Linked DNA regions of Saccharomyces cerevisiae S288C. The protein of the gene in region 2 interacts with the protein of the main gene of each other region in a biochemical or structural test. Each region holds a gene or a part of one and is shown on either strand. Other genes may lie near its edges.

The links. The genes of interacting proteins can lie anywhere in the genome.
Region 1: the proteins of NMD5 (region 2) and RPF1 form a complex in vitro, tested with the Saccharomyces cerevisiae proteins (one study listed by BioGRID).

The regions. Positions count from the first base shown.
Region 1 is NC_001140.6:279,653-284,030, forward strand, and holds RPF1 (rRNA-binding ribosome biosynthesis protein RPF1), read left to right. Parts: upstream 1-1,842; coding exon 1,843-2,730; downstream 2,731-4,378. Other genes in the region: NAM8 (Nam8p), read left to right, coding at 1-72; YHR086W-A (uncharacterized protein), read left to right, coding at 579-740; RTC3 (Rtc3p), read left to right, coding at 1,168-1,503; H/ACA snoRNP pseudouridylase subunit GAR1, read right to left, coding at 3,029-3,646; histone acetyltransferase YNG2, read right to left, coding at 4,125-4,378. UniProt on the Saccharomyces cerevisiae protein: Essential protein. Required for biogenesis of the 60S ribosomal subunit.
Region 2 is NC_001142.9:667,892-675,464, forward strand, and holds NMD5 (Nmd5p), read left to right. Parts: upstream 1-1,630; coding exon 1,631-4,777; downstream 4,778-7,573. Other genes in the region: MNS1 (mannosyl-oligosaccharide 1,2-alpha-mannosidase), read left to right, coding at 1-1,402; XPT1 (xanthine phosphoribosyltransferase), read left to right, coding at 5,100-5,729; SGM1 (Sgm1p), read right to left, coding at 5,838-7,573. UniProt on the Saccharomyces cerevisiae protein: Active in protein import into the nucleus. Its major import substrate is transcription elongation factor TFIIS.

The DNA of each region.
Region 1 (4,378 bases), on a different chromosome or scaffold from region 2:
GCGGTTGTTAACAGCACTAATGCAATGTTAAACCGTTTGGAACAAGGCAGTAATGGTTTTATGTTTGCTTGAGCCACACGTGTATATAAAAATGTTTGTTTTCCTTTTGGCCCTTTTTCTTTCTTGGTATTTTCTTTACTTCAGTGTTAAATTGTATTTGGTCTTAGGCTGACGGTGATATAACAGCGCTTTATTTTCTTTTTTTCATTGCTTTTTATCGTTTTCAAGATTCCATGTCCTTTTATTAAGTCTTTTTTGTATCGTTATAGTTGCGTTTTTCCTTTTGATTTTCATTTCTTTCAAGGTTATTGTTATTCTTAATTCAATTCAAGATTGTACGCTTTTAAGCATGTTTATGATTTTCCTTTATTACTTCCATTTACCTTCTTTCCATCACTACTCATTACGGCCTGTCAATTCCTTTTTTGCGTCACCTTCATTTTTTCTTCTCTGTTCTTTTCTGTATTTGTCGAAAATTTTATATTGATGTATCTTAATTTTATTTTTAGTATTATTATACTGTAAATGTTTCTTACTGTGTCAAGATTTCCCGTTGCGCTATCTTCCAAGACTACGTAATGCGTTTGTCTCTCTATTCATGTTGTCTCTGTATAGGGGCACGGCGAATTCCTACTCCGTGTCTCTTCTCCTATATCTTTACACCAAATTTGGCCCATTTTCATTCCCCTTTACGTAGTAGCGGTTTTCGGCCTGCCGGTGCTACGCGTTTCTATAGCTAGTTTCGTTTTCTCACAAATAAATCCTAGCAGGAGGAAAAGAAAGCGCAGGTTGAAACTCCGTTCAGAAGAAGAAAGCCACTCTTTGAAAATACTGCCCACGCAATTGTCCCTTTCTGACAATAAGACCCCTTACTACTAGTAAATGTTTTTATTCTCTAAGCTTCTTTTCCTCTAACTTCGACGCTAGAGCAGGCACTACCCTGTTGGGCCGTACGTAACAACAACGACCCCTTATTTAGTCGAAGGGATCGCCAGAAACAGGGAGCAAAAGATATTTAAGTGATGAGAATCAATTTCGATGATGATCACAAGCCAATGTTCTTTAAACTCAATTCTTGACTAATAAAAAAGCAGCTATCAACAAATTCATACTTTGAACAAGCTGATAAAAATAAGAAAACCATCGCATACACAAAATAAAATCAACATGTCTACTGTAACCAAATACTTTTACAAGGGTGAAAATACAGATTTGATTGTCTTCGCTGCATCCGAAGAGCTTGTAGACGAATATTTGAAAAATCCATCAATTGGTAAGCTATCTGAAGTTGTCGAACTCTTCGAAGTTTTCACTCCTCAGGACGGTAGGGGTGCCGAGGGTGAGTTGGGCGCTGCCTCCAAGGCCCAAGTGGAAAATGAGTTCGGTAAGGGCAAGAAGATCGAAGAAGTTATCGATTTGATATTGAGAAATGGTAAGCCAAACTCTACCACCTCTAGTCTCAAAACCAAAGGGGGTAACGCCGGAACCAAAGCCTACAATTGAGTAGCTTTTCCTTCTGTCTGGACAGCCTGCATTGAAATATGCAATAAGTTAAATTGGCGTGCTGCCCTGTCATAACGCATGCATTCTTCTTTTACAGTAGTAGAAAGAACAAAAAGGTGTATATTTCAATATACATATTTACGATCTATATAACGTTGTATACATTTAATTCAGTGCATTTTTCATTTTCGCGTTCGTCACACATGATTATTTATACAAAGGAAAAGTAAAATTTTTAGCGATGAGATGTAAAAAGAAATGCGATGCCATAAGCTATACTTTACGATTGAACACCTAAGGAAGAGGTAAAGCAGGCTTAATATATTGAAATACTAAAAAATGGCTCTCGGTAATGAGATAAACATCACAAACAAGCTAAAGAGGCAAGAAATTTTTGCTGATATAAAACATGAAAAAAATAAAGAGCGCCATACCATGAGAAGAAAGAGAGCTAAGGAAGAGAGAGAGAATCCGGAGCTGCGGGAGCAGAGATTAAAAGAGAACGTAACACAGACGATAGAGAACACTAGAGTGTACGATGAGACCATTAACAAGGAAGTGGAGGGAGATGAAGACGATTTGATGAGATACTTCAACAGCAATTCTAATGAGCCACCAAAGATCTTTCTGACCACAAATGTAAACGCTAAGAAGAGCGCTTATGAATTTGCTAACATTTTAATCGAAATTTTACCAAACGTCACATTTGTGAAAAGAAAATTTGGCTACAAATTGAAGGAAATATCTGATATTTGTATAAAAAGGAATTTCACTGACATCGTGATAATCAACGAGGACAAGAAAAAGGTTACTGGCCTAACATTCATACATCTGCCAGAGGGCCCAACTTTTTATTTTAAATTATCATCATTTGTTGAAGTGAAGAAAATTGTCGGTCATGGTAGACCAACTAGCCATATTCCAGAATTGATTCTAAATAATTTCCAGACCAGATTGGGTCAAACAGTAGGTAGGTTGTTTCAGTCCATTTTACCTCAGAATCCTGATATTGAAGGTCGACAAGTTATCACCCTACATAATCAAAGAGATTACATTTTCTTCAGAAGGCATCGGTATGTCTTCAAAGATAATGAAAGGGTTGGTTTGCAAGAACTGGGTCCACAATTTACCCTCAAGTTGAAAAGATTGCAAAGGGGTATTAAGGAAGAAACTGAATGGGAGCATAAACCTGAGATGGACAAAGAAAAGAAAAAGTTTTATTTATAGTGTTCCATTCGTAAACTTTGTATGGATATAATATTAAGACAACCGTAAGAACCGTGGTCGTTTGTTTAACTACGGCGGCTTCTGGTATTACTGAATTTCTCTTTTTTTCATTTTAAATCAATTTATTACAGGTAAATCAATCAAACAAATATATATATATATAGTATACAGAACAAACGGTAATTTCTTTTTTTTTTTTTCGACGTTAGACGTGCTTCGGCAGATATAGTAAGTTGGAAGAAATGAAGAATTGTGAAAGATAAAGGATGGTTTTTTTTTTTATTTTTTTCTAGCTAGATTATCTTCTACCTCCTCTGAAACCACCACGAGATCCGCCACGAGATCCTCCTCTAAATGATCCGCCACGAGATCCACCTCTGAAAGAACTGCCACCACGGCCTCCTCTGAAAGAACTACCACCACGGCCTCCTCTGAAACCTCCTCTGCTACCACCGCGACCCATTGAAGCACCACCACGGCCACCTGGGGCACCACTTCTCTTCTTCTTGTTTTTTGGTTTTGGTGGGCCTACCACCTTAGGCTTAGGTAAAAATCTTTCAATAGGCAATAGTTTGTCAGCGGCAATGTAGAATTTATCACCTTCTTTAAAACTGGTTGCTTGGACACCGTCACCACACTTGATAGTGAAAAATACTTCGTTTAATGGACCCAATATTTCGTCAACTTTACCGACTTGAGTCTTGTTTTCCAAATATATTGGCGCATTGAAATATGGAATCTTAGTGTTGATAGAACGGCAAACAATATCACCCTCACATGGATGTAGAAAAGCTCCCATTTCTAGAACAGTGTCTGGTGGTCCTTGTTGAAATGATCTAGCACTGCCTGTACGTCCACCACGAAAGCCGCCACGGAAGCCGCCACGGCCACCTCTATTACCTCCTCTGAAACTCATTATTTTCTTTTGGTTAAAAATTATCCTCAGGTGATCTTTTGGTAGAAGAGAGCAATCAGATACTCTATCGAAAAGGTGCTCACGTTATAAGGCTAACAAATTAATTTTTTCTTCCTTTCCTCATCTCGAAAAATTTTTCACTACAAAAAATTCCGACGTCAAAGTTTGAAAAAAAGACCATCTGATCACGTGACACCTTTTTCCTGCTCATAAGTTTTAAAAACCGTATGACACATATGCTAATGAAATTAAAATATATAGTATATACCTGAATATGCAGGAATCATATCTTAGTTTGATTCACAAGTATTTGAAAGTACATTCAAAAATGTCAATCGTATATGTCCTTGCTAGCTGATGTCTCGAAATTACTTCTCCTTTTCGAAAAGCACATTGTCAGAATAGCAATCACCGTTTCTGGCTTATGGAATATTATTAGTGTAAATGAGGTCATTCAGTCTCAAAAAGGTATTTTTGTTCAGTTACGTTTTCTTTTCAGTTTGTTTTTTTCCATCTCAATTTTACATTCGGGACAGTACCATGTTCCTTTCGGAGGTTCTTTTAAATTTACACAATCATAATGAAACCATTCATATTTACAGTTGGGTCCATCACATGCAACCATTTCTCCAAACGAAACTCTTTGACAGAAGCAGTATAAAGTTTTGTCCTCTTCCTCGTTTTCAGGGGAACCGTTTTGGCCTTTACCATTTCTACTGTTTTTGAATTCTT
Region 2 (7,573 bases):
TATCGTAGATTCAGTGGATACCTTGATGTTAATGTATAACTCCTCCACACTATACAAAAGTGAGTTCGAGGCAGAAATTCAGAGATCGGAGCATTGGATAAACGATGTTTTGGATTTTGATATTGATGCCGAAGTGAATGTTTTTGAAACTACTATTAGAATGCTAGGTGGTTTATTATCCGCATATCATCTATCTGATGTTTTAGAAGTAGGTAATAAGACTGTCTACTTGAACAAAGCAATAGATTTGGGGGATAGGCTTGCTTTGGCGTTCTTATCCACTCAGACCGGAATTCCATACTCAAGTATAAACCTTCATAGTGGCCAAGCGGTTAAGAACCATGCAGATGGGGGGGCATCTTCTACCGCAGAATTCACTACGCTACAAATGGAATTCAAATATCTGGCGTATTTGACAGGAAATCGTACTTATTGGGAGCTGGTGGAGCGTGTTTACGAGCCATTATACAAAAATAACGATCTTCTAAATACCTACGATGGATTGGTTCCAATTTATACATTTCCAGATACTGGGAAGTTTGGTGCTTCGACTATCCGGTTCGGATCAAGAGGTGATTCTTTTTATGAGTATTTACTAAAACAATATTTATTGACGCACGAAACACTTTATTATGATCTGTACAGAAAATCCATGGAAGGTATGAAAAAGCATTTATTAGCACAATCCAAACCCTCTTCTCTGTGGTACATTGGGGAAAGAGAACAAGGTCTACATGGACAACTTTCTCCTAAGATGGACCACCTCGTGTGCTTTATGGGGGGATTGTTAGCATCAGGCTCTACTGAGGGCCTTTCTATTCATGAAGCCCGAAGACGTCCGTTTTTCTCTCTTTCCCTTGAAAGAAAAAGTGACTGGGATTTGGCTAAAGGGATAACTGACACATGTTATCAAATGTACAAGCAGTCTTCCTCGGGGCTTGCGCCTGAAATCGTTGTCTTCAATGATGGAAACATAAAACAGGATGGTTGGTGGCGGTCGTCTGTGGGTGATTTTTTTGTTAAACCACTCGATAGGCACAACCTACAAAGACCAGAAACGGTGGAATCGATTATGTTCATGTATCATTTATCTCATGATCACAAATATCGTGAATGGGGGGCGGAAATCGCAACTAGCTTCTTTGAAAATACCTGTGTTGATTGTAATGACCCAAAATTAAGGCGGTTCACCAGTTTAAGTGATTGTATCACGTTACCTACAAAGAAATCTAACAATATGGAAAGTTTCTGGTTGGCAGAGACTTTAAAGTATTTATATATATTGTTTTTAGACGAGTTTGATTTGACCAAAGTTGTTTTCAACACAGAAGCTCATCCTTTTCCAGTATTAGACGAAGAAATATTAAAATCGCAGTCTCTGACCACAGGTTGGTCGTTGTAGGTTAGTGTGCTATATAGTGGCCAGATTCGCCTTTTAAAATTCACTATGCGGTGTGATGATGTGCTATACCATTTTTTCCATGTTTAGGAAAATGAAAAATTTGCAATGCTTACTTCAGCAAAAAAGTATATTTGAATCAATATTCATTTATATATTTCAGCATAATCAATCATTTTTCGTCTGGATATTTGACACAATTTTGATTTTGACGAAGACATTTTATTCTCGATGGATATTACAGAATTGTTACAGTGCTTTGCCTGTACTTTGGACCATAACGCTGCCGTAAGAACTAATGCAGAAACACATCTTAAAAATGCAAGTAAAGTACCGGGATTCTTAGGCGCATGCCTGGATATCATTGCTGCTGATGAAGTACCAGAAAACATCAAATTATCAGCTTCCTTATATTTCAAGAATAAGATTACATACGGATGGTCTGCTGGTGCAAGACAGGGTTCAAATGAATTATTAGATTCACATGTTGATCCGGATGAAAAACCAGTAGTAAAAGATATGTTAATTAAAACAATGGTCAGTGTGTCCAAGACCTCCCCGCGTTGTATCAGAGTGCTAAAATCTGCCCTTACTGTAATTATTTCAGAAGATTACCCTAGCAAAAAATGGGGCAATTTGTTACCAAATTCCTTAGAATTACTCGCAAATGAAGACATCACAGTAACATATGTCGGACTTCTGTGTCTTGCTGAGATTTTTAGGACCTATAGGTGGAAGAATAATGATGAAAGACAGGACTTAGAAGAGTTGATTTTAAATTATTTCCCTGCTTTATTAAACTATGGCGCAAATGTCCTTTTCCAAGATGGTAAATATATGAATAACGAGCAAATTGGCGAATTGGTAAAATTAATCATTAAAATTTATAAGTTCGTTTCATACCATGACCTACCATTTACATTACAACGCTCAGAATCGTTTACCCCATGGGCATGTTTTTTTGTCAGCATCATTCAGCAGCCATTGCCTCAGGAAGTTTTGGCTATATCAGATATTGAGGTCAGAAGTAAAAATCCATGGGTCAAATGTAAGAAATGGGCTCTTGCAAACCTTTATAGACTTTTCCAGAGATACGCATCAACGTCATTAACAAGGAAGTTTCAGTACGATGAGTTTAAACAGATGTACTGTGAAGAGTTTTTGACTCAGTTTTTGCAAGTCGTCTTCGATCAAATCGAGAAATGGGGAACTGGACAGTTGTGGTTAAGTGACGAATGCTTATACTACATATTGAACTTTGTTGAGCAGTGTGTTGTGCAGAAAACAACTTGGAAACTTGTTGGGCCCCACTACAATGTAATACTTCAACATGTCATTTTCCCACTACTAAAGCCCACTGCAGAGACTTTGGAGGCCTTTGACAATGACCCTCAAGAATATATCAACCGGAATATGGACTTTTGGGATGTCGGCTATTCCCCAGATCTTGCCGCACTGGCTTTGCTAACGACATGCGTGACGAAACGCGGTAAAACGACCTTACAACCGACCTTAGAATTTATGGTCTCAACCTTACAAAGTGCCGTTGGTGATTACAACAATATTATGTTGGATAATGCCTTGCAAATTGAGTCCTGTTTGAGAATATTCTCCAGCATTATTGACCGTTTGATAACTAAAGATTCTCCATTTGCCAGTGAGATGGAAAAGTTTATATTGACATACGTTTTACCTTTTTTTAAGTCTCAGTATGGGTTTCTGCAAAGTCGTGTTTGCGATATTTGTTCGAAGTTGGGTTCTATGGATTTCAAAGACCCGGTAATAACCTCTACTATCTACGAAGGTGTTATGAATTGTCTGAATAACTCTTCTAATTCTTTACCTGTAGAATTGACAGCTGCATTGGCATTGCAAACTTTTATCAGTGATGACCAGTTTAATATGAAGTTATCCGAACACGTTGTTCCTACTATGCAGAAATTACTAAGTTTGTCTAATGATTTTGAATCTGATGTCATTTCAGGCGTTATGCAAGATTTTGTGGAGCAGTTTGCTGAGCAATTACAACCTTTTGGTGTTGAATTAATGAACACTTTGGTCCAACAGTTTTTGAAATTAGCTATTGATCTGCATGAAACATCCAATTTGGATCCAGATTCCTTCACGAACGTTGATAGCATACCCGATGAATCTGACAAGCAAATGGCGGCGCTAGGTATTTTGTCGACTACGATATCTATTCTGTTGTCTTTTGAGAATTCACCTGAAATTTTAAAAAACTTGGAACAGTCATTTTATCCAGCTGCAGAGTTTATTTTGAAAAACGACATCGAAGATTTCTATCGCGAATGTTGCGAATTTGTAGAGAACTCTACATTCCTACTAAGAGATATCACACCCATCAGCTGGAAAATTTTGGAGCTGATTGGAGAATGTAATAGAAAACCAGATAGTATGGTATCTTATTATTTAAGTGATTTCATGCTAGCCTTAAATAATATCCTCATTTATGGAAGGAACGAATTAAAGAAGAACGAGTTTTACACAAAAATCATATTCGAAATATATCAAAAGGCTGTTACTGCAGAAGATAATTCGTTAGACGATCTTAGAGTGGTTTTTGATTTATCCCAAGAGTTGGTTCTTGCATTAGATGACAGTTTACCTCAACAATACAGAGAGCGCCTACTGGCGGATGTTGTCGGCTCTATTCTAACGCAAAAGAATGAATTGAAAACTAATGTTGTATTTAGTGTGACTGCTTTTAATGTCGTAATCTCAAATATGATAACAGAGCCTTTGATCACGCTTCAGTACCTGAAACAGCAAGGTTGTCTTGAAATCTTCTTTCAAACGTGGATTACAGACTATATTCCGAATTATAAAAGGTGCTATGATATCAAATTATCAGTTCTTGCGTTATTAAAAATTATACTGAAGTTAGAAAGCAACGATTATTCAGTGTTGAACTTAGAAAATTTGGTTCCGCAATTAGGGAGTATTGTTACGCAGTTAGCTTCGAGGCTACCAACGGCGTTAAGGCAATTAGCTAACCAACGCAAGGAATTCTCATCATCCGGTTTTGAAGAGGATACTAAGTGGGATGAAAATTTTCTTGACGTTGGAGACGATGATGAAAATGATGACGAGGGAGACCTTACTGAGAAATATCTGGAACTGATAAAAAATAGAGCCGATTCCTTGGACTTCGTAGATGGTTATGACGCAAAGGAAACTTTCGATGACCTAGAAGAGGACCCATTAACGGGGTCGATCCTGGACACAGTTGACGTATACAAGGTTTTCAAGGAGTCCATTGCGAACTTACAACATGTTGACAGCAATAGATATCAGGGAATCTTGAGACATCTGACCCCGGCTGATCAAGAACTATTCATGGGAATTATGAATGCCTAATTGAATTAAATGGCGATTGTATATTGAAACAAACACTGGATTACATAATTTAGATAGAAGAGAGAGGATATTATGCTCAAAGTTTGTTGCCTTTGCCTCGGCCAGTTGACTTTGATTTGATATCAAGATCTTTTTTTTTTATCTGGAGTCAATGCGATGAACCTAAAAAAATCACAAGCTTTTTTTATCTCTAAGCTGGGGAAAGAATCGTAGTTAAATCGGAAAGAAAAATATCTGAGTTTTGTCAGTCTTTCTTTTGCATAGCCCATCCTTGTACTAGATTTCATAAACATTGATCACTTCAAAATATACTTGTACCAAGATGGCCGAAAATGAGAGAATGTACATCTCCTATAATAATATTCACAAGCTTTGTCAGGGAGTGGCTAAACATATCTTAGCTAGAAACGAAAGACCTGATATTATTATCGCCATCACTGGTGGTGGTATGATCCCCGCAAGAATTATTAGGTCCTTTTTGAAAACTAAAGGACAAAAGAATATTCCGATTCAGGCCATCGGCCTATCTTTGTATGAAGATTTAGGGTTGGATAATAGCGTCGAAACTATCGGCAAAGAGGTCATCAGAACACAATGGCTGGACTTCGGTGCTTTGAACCAACATTTCGATTCCTTAATTGGTAAAAAGGTCCTAATTGTGGATGAAGTTGACGATACTAGAACTACCCTCCACTATGCTGTTTCTGAGCTGGAAAAAGAGATTGCTGAACAACAAAAGGTTTTGAATAGAATGAGTGAGGAAACCGTTATTTCTATCTTTGTTCTACATAATAAGGACAAACCAAAGAGAGCTGGACTACCTGACTCCATGATGAATTCTGGACGTTACATTGCTGCGCAAACTGTCCCTGATAAGTGGTTGTGCTATCCATGGGACGCTGAAGATATCGAAGAACATACCATGCTCGCTAAGGCTCAAGGTCATGACTGATGACAAACAGTATGTTGCGATGGGGTTGCATGTATATAGATACATATAGTTATCATTGGTAATTATTTCATATTTAACCTAAATCTAAAGATAAGAGTGTATTTCTAGTTATCTCATTTTTCCTTGCATTTCTACCATTTGTTGAACTTGTTGATGCATCATCTCTTTTAAATCGGACACATCATTTTCTAATTCCTCCACTTGTTCAGTCTTTTCACCTAATAGTTGTAAGGAGGTTTCCAATTTACTTTGCATCTGCTCAACTCTTTTTAAGAGATCATCTTTCTGTTTATTTACCTCATTGAATTTATCGTTTTCTTCCAGAAGTCTTAAAATCTCATCATTTGCTTTTGTCTTTTCTTTCAGTAAATTATCGTATAATTCCTTTGATGCTGATAATTCACCTTCCAATCTTTTTAACTCCGTACTTAACTTGTTCACCAGATGAGCGCTTATGTGGCCGTTAGAATTCGATAGCTGGACGCTAGCTCTTCTGTATGGTATTGATGTGTTGTTTAACGAGTTCATTGATTCCCCTTCCCTGATTGCTTGTAAAGCAGCGGCCTCTTCTGGAATATCGTCAATGCTGAAATCCACATTTTTTCTATCAAAATGTTGGCTTTCTTCGCTACATATGGTTTCGTGAGATTCATTGTAAATGGGTTTTAGAGACGGATCGCTTTCTAATTCGCCAAGTTTTGACATTGATAATGACAGCATAGAATTTTCTTGAGGTAAAGTCCATTCGTCTTCTATATTTCCCTCCATGGAGTTTAAACTATCTGTTAATTCTACAGGTATTTTATCTATAATTTTCTCATTGCTGTTTTCTTGATGTGGTTTTAGTTCGTTCTCTTTTTGTTCCAACTGAGACCTTTGAATTTCGTACTTCTTCTTCAGTAGATTATAATCATCACTTATACTTTGCAATGATGACTTCAATGTCTCCGCCCGTCTCTCCAAGTCTTTCACTTCCAAAACTGCCTTCGAATGATTCTCTTTTTCTTTTTCTAATTGCTTACCTAATGTTTCAGATGAACGTAAGGCAGTTTGATATTTTTCTTCAATATCATTTTTTTCTTTCATTGTAGATTCAAAGCGGTTTTCCAAGTTCACAATTTTAGTGTTCAAAGCGTATTCAATACTATCCCAGTTGGCCTTTGATGACTCAAGCTGTTCTTTGAGCCGATTGTATTGGAAAGATGCGTGTTGTTTTTCTTCATAACTTTGTTGGTCATCGACAAAATCTCTATTTGATTTAGCGTCTAAATTTTGAGTAGAGCTATCTAATTCTATTCTTAGTTGTTCTAGTTTAGTCTCTAGAGTGGTAACTTGATCAACTGTTGCTTCTTGTAGTGCTTTCTTTTCCGTTTGAAATTCACTTTTTTCTTTTTCAAGCAATGTTCTCATATTATCTAAAGATTGCTGTAAAATTGTTATCAAATCATCTTTTTCTTTTATATTTTTCTCTAATGTTTCAAGTGACTCTTTTTGTTTATCTGCATCCTTTAATTTATTTGTAGCTTCAGCCAGTTGTCCTTGTATGTTGTGATACAATGATTGCAGCTCATTATAGTTTTCGACACTCTGAGCAGAACTATCGTTTAGTTCAGATACCTCATACTCTAAGTCTTTCACTTTTGTTCTTAAAGCTTTGATTTGATTTGATTGCCTCAGCTCAGTTTCCGCTAATTTAGCTCCTTCTTTTCTCAACTGATCTATCAAGTCGTCCTTCTCTTTAATCAATTTGAAAAAACTAGAATCCGTGGTTTCGATTTGTGATTTTCTGTTTAGTTCGTTAGTTAGGTCATCAATCTGTTTGTTTAATCTTAAATATTCAGGAC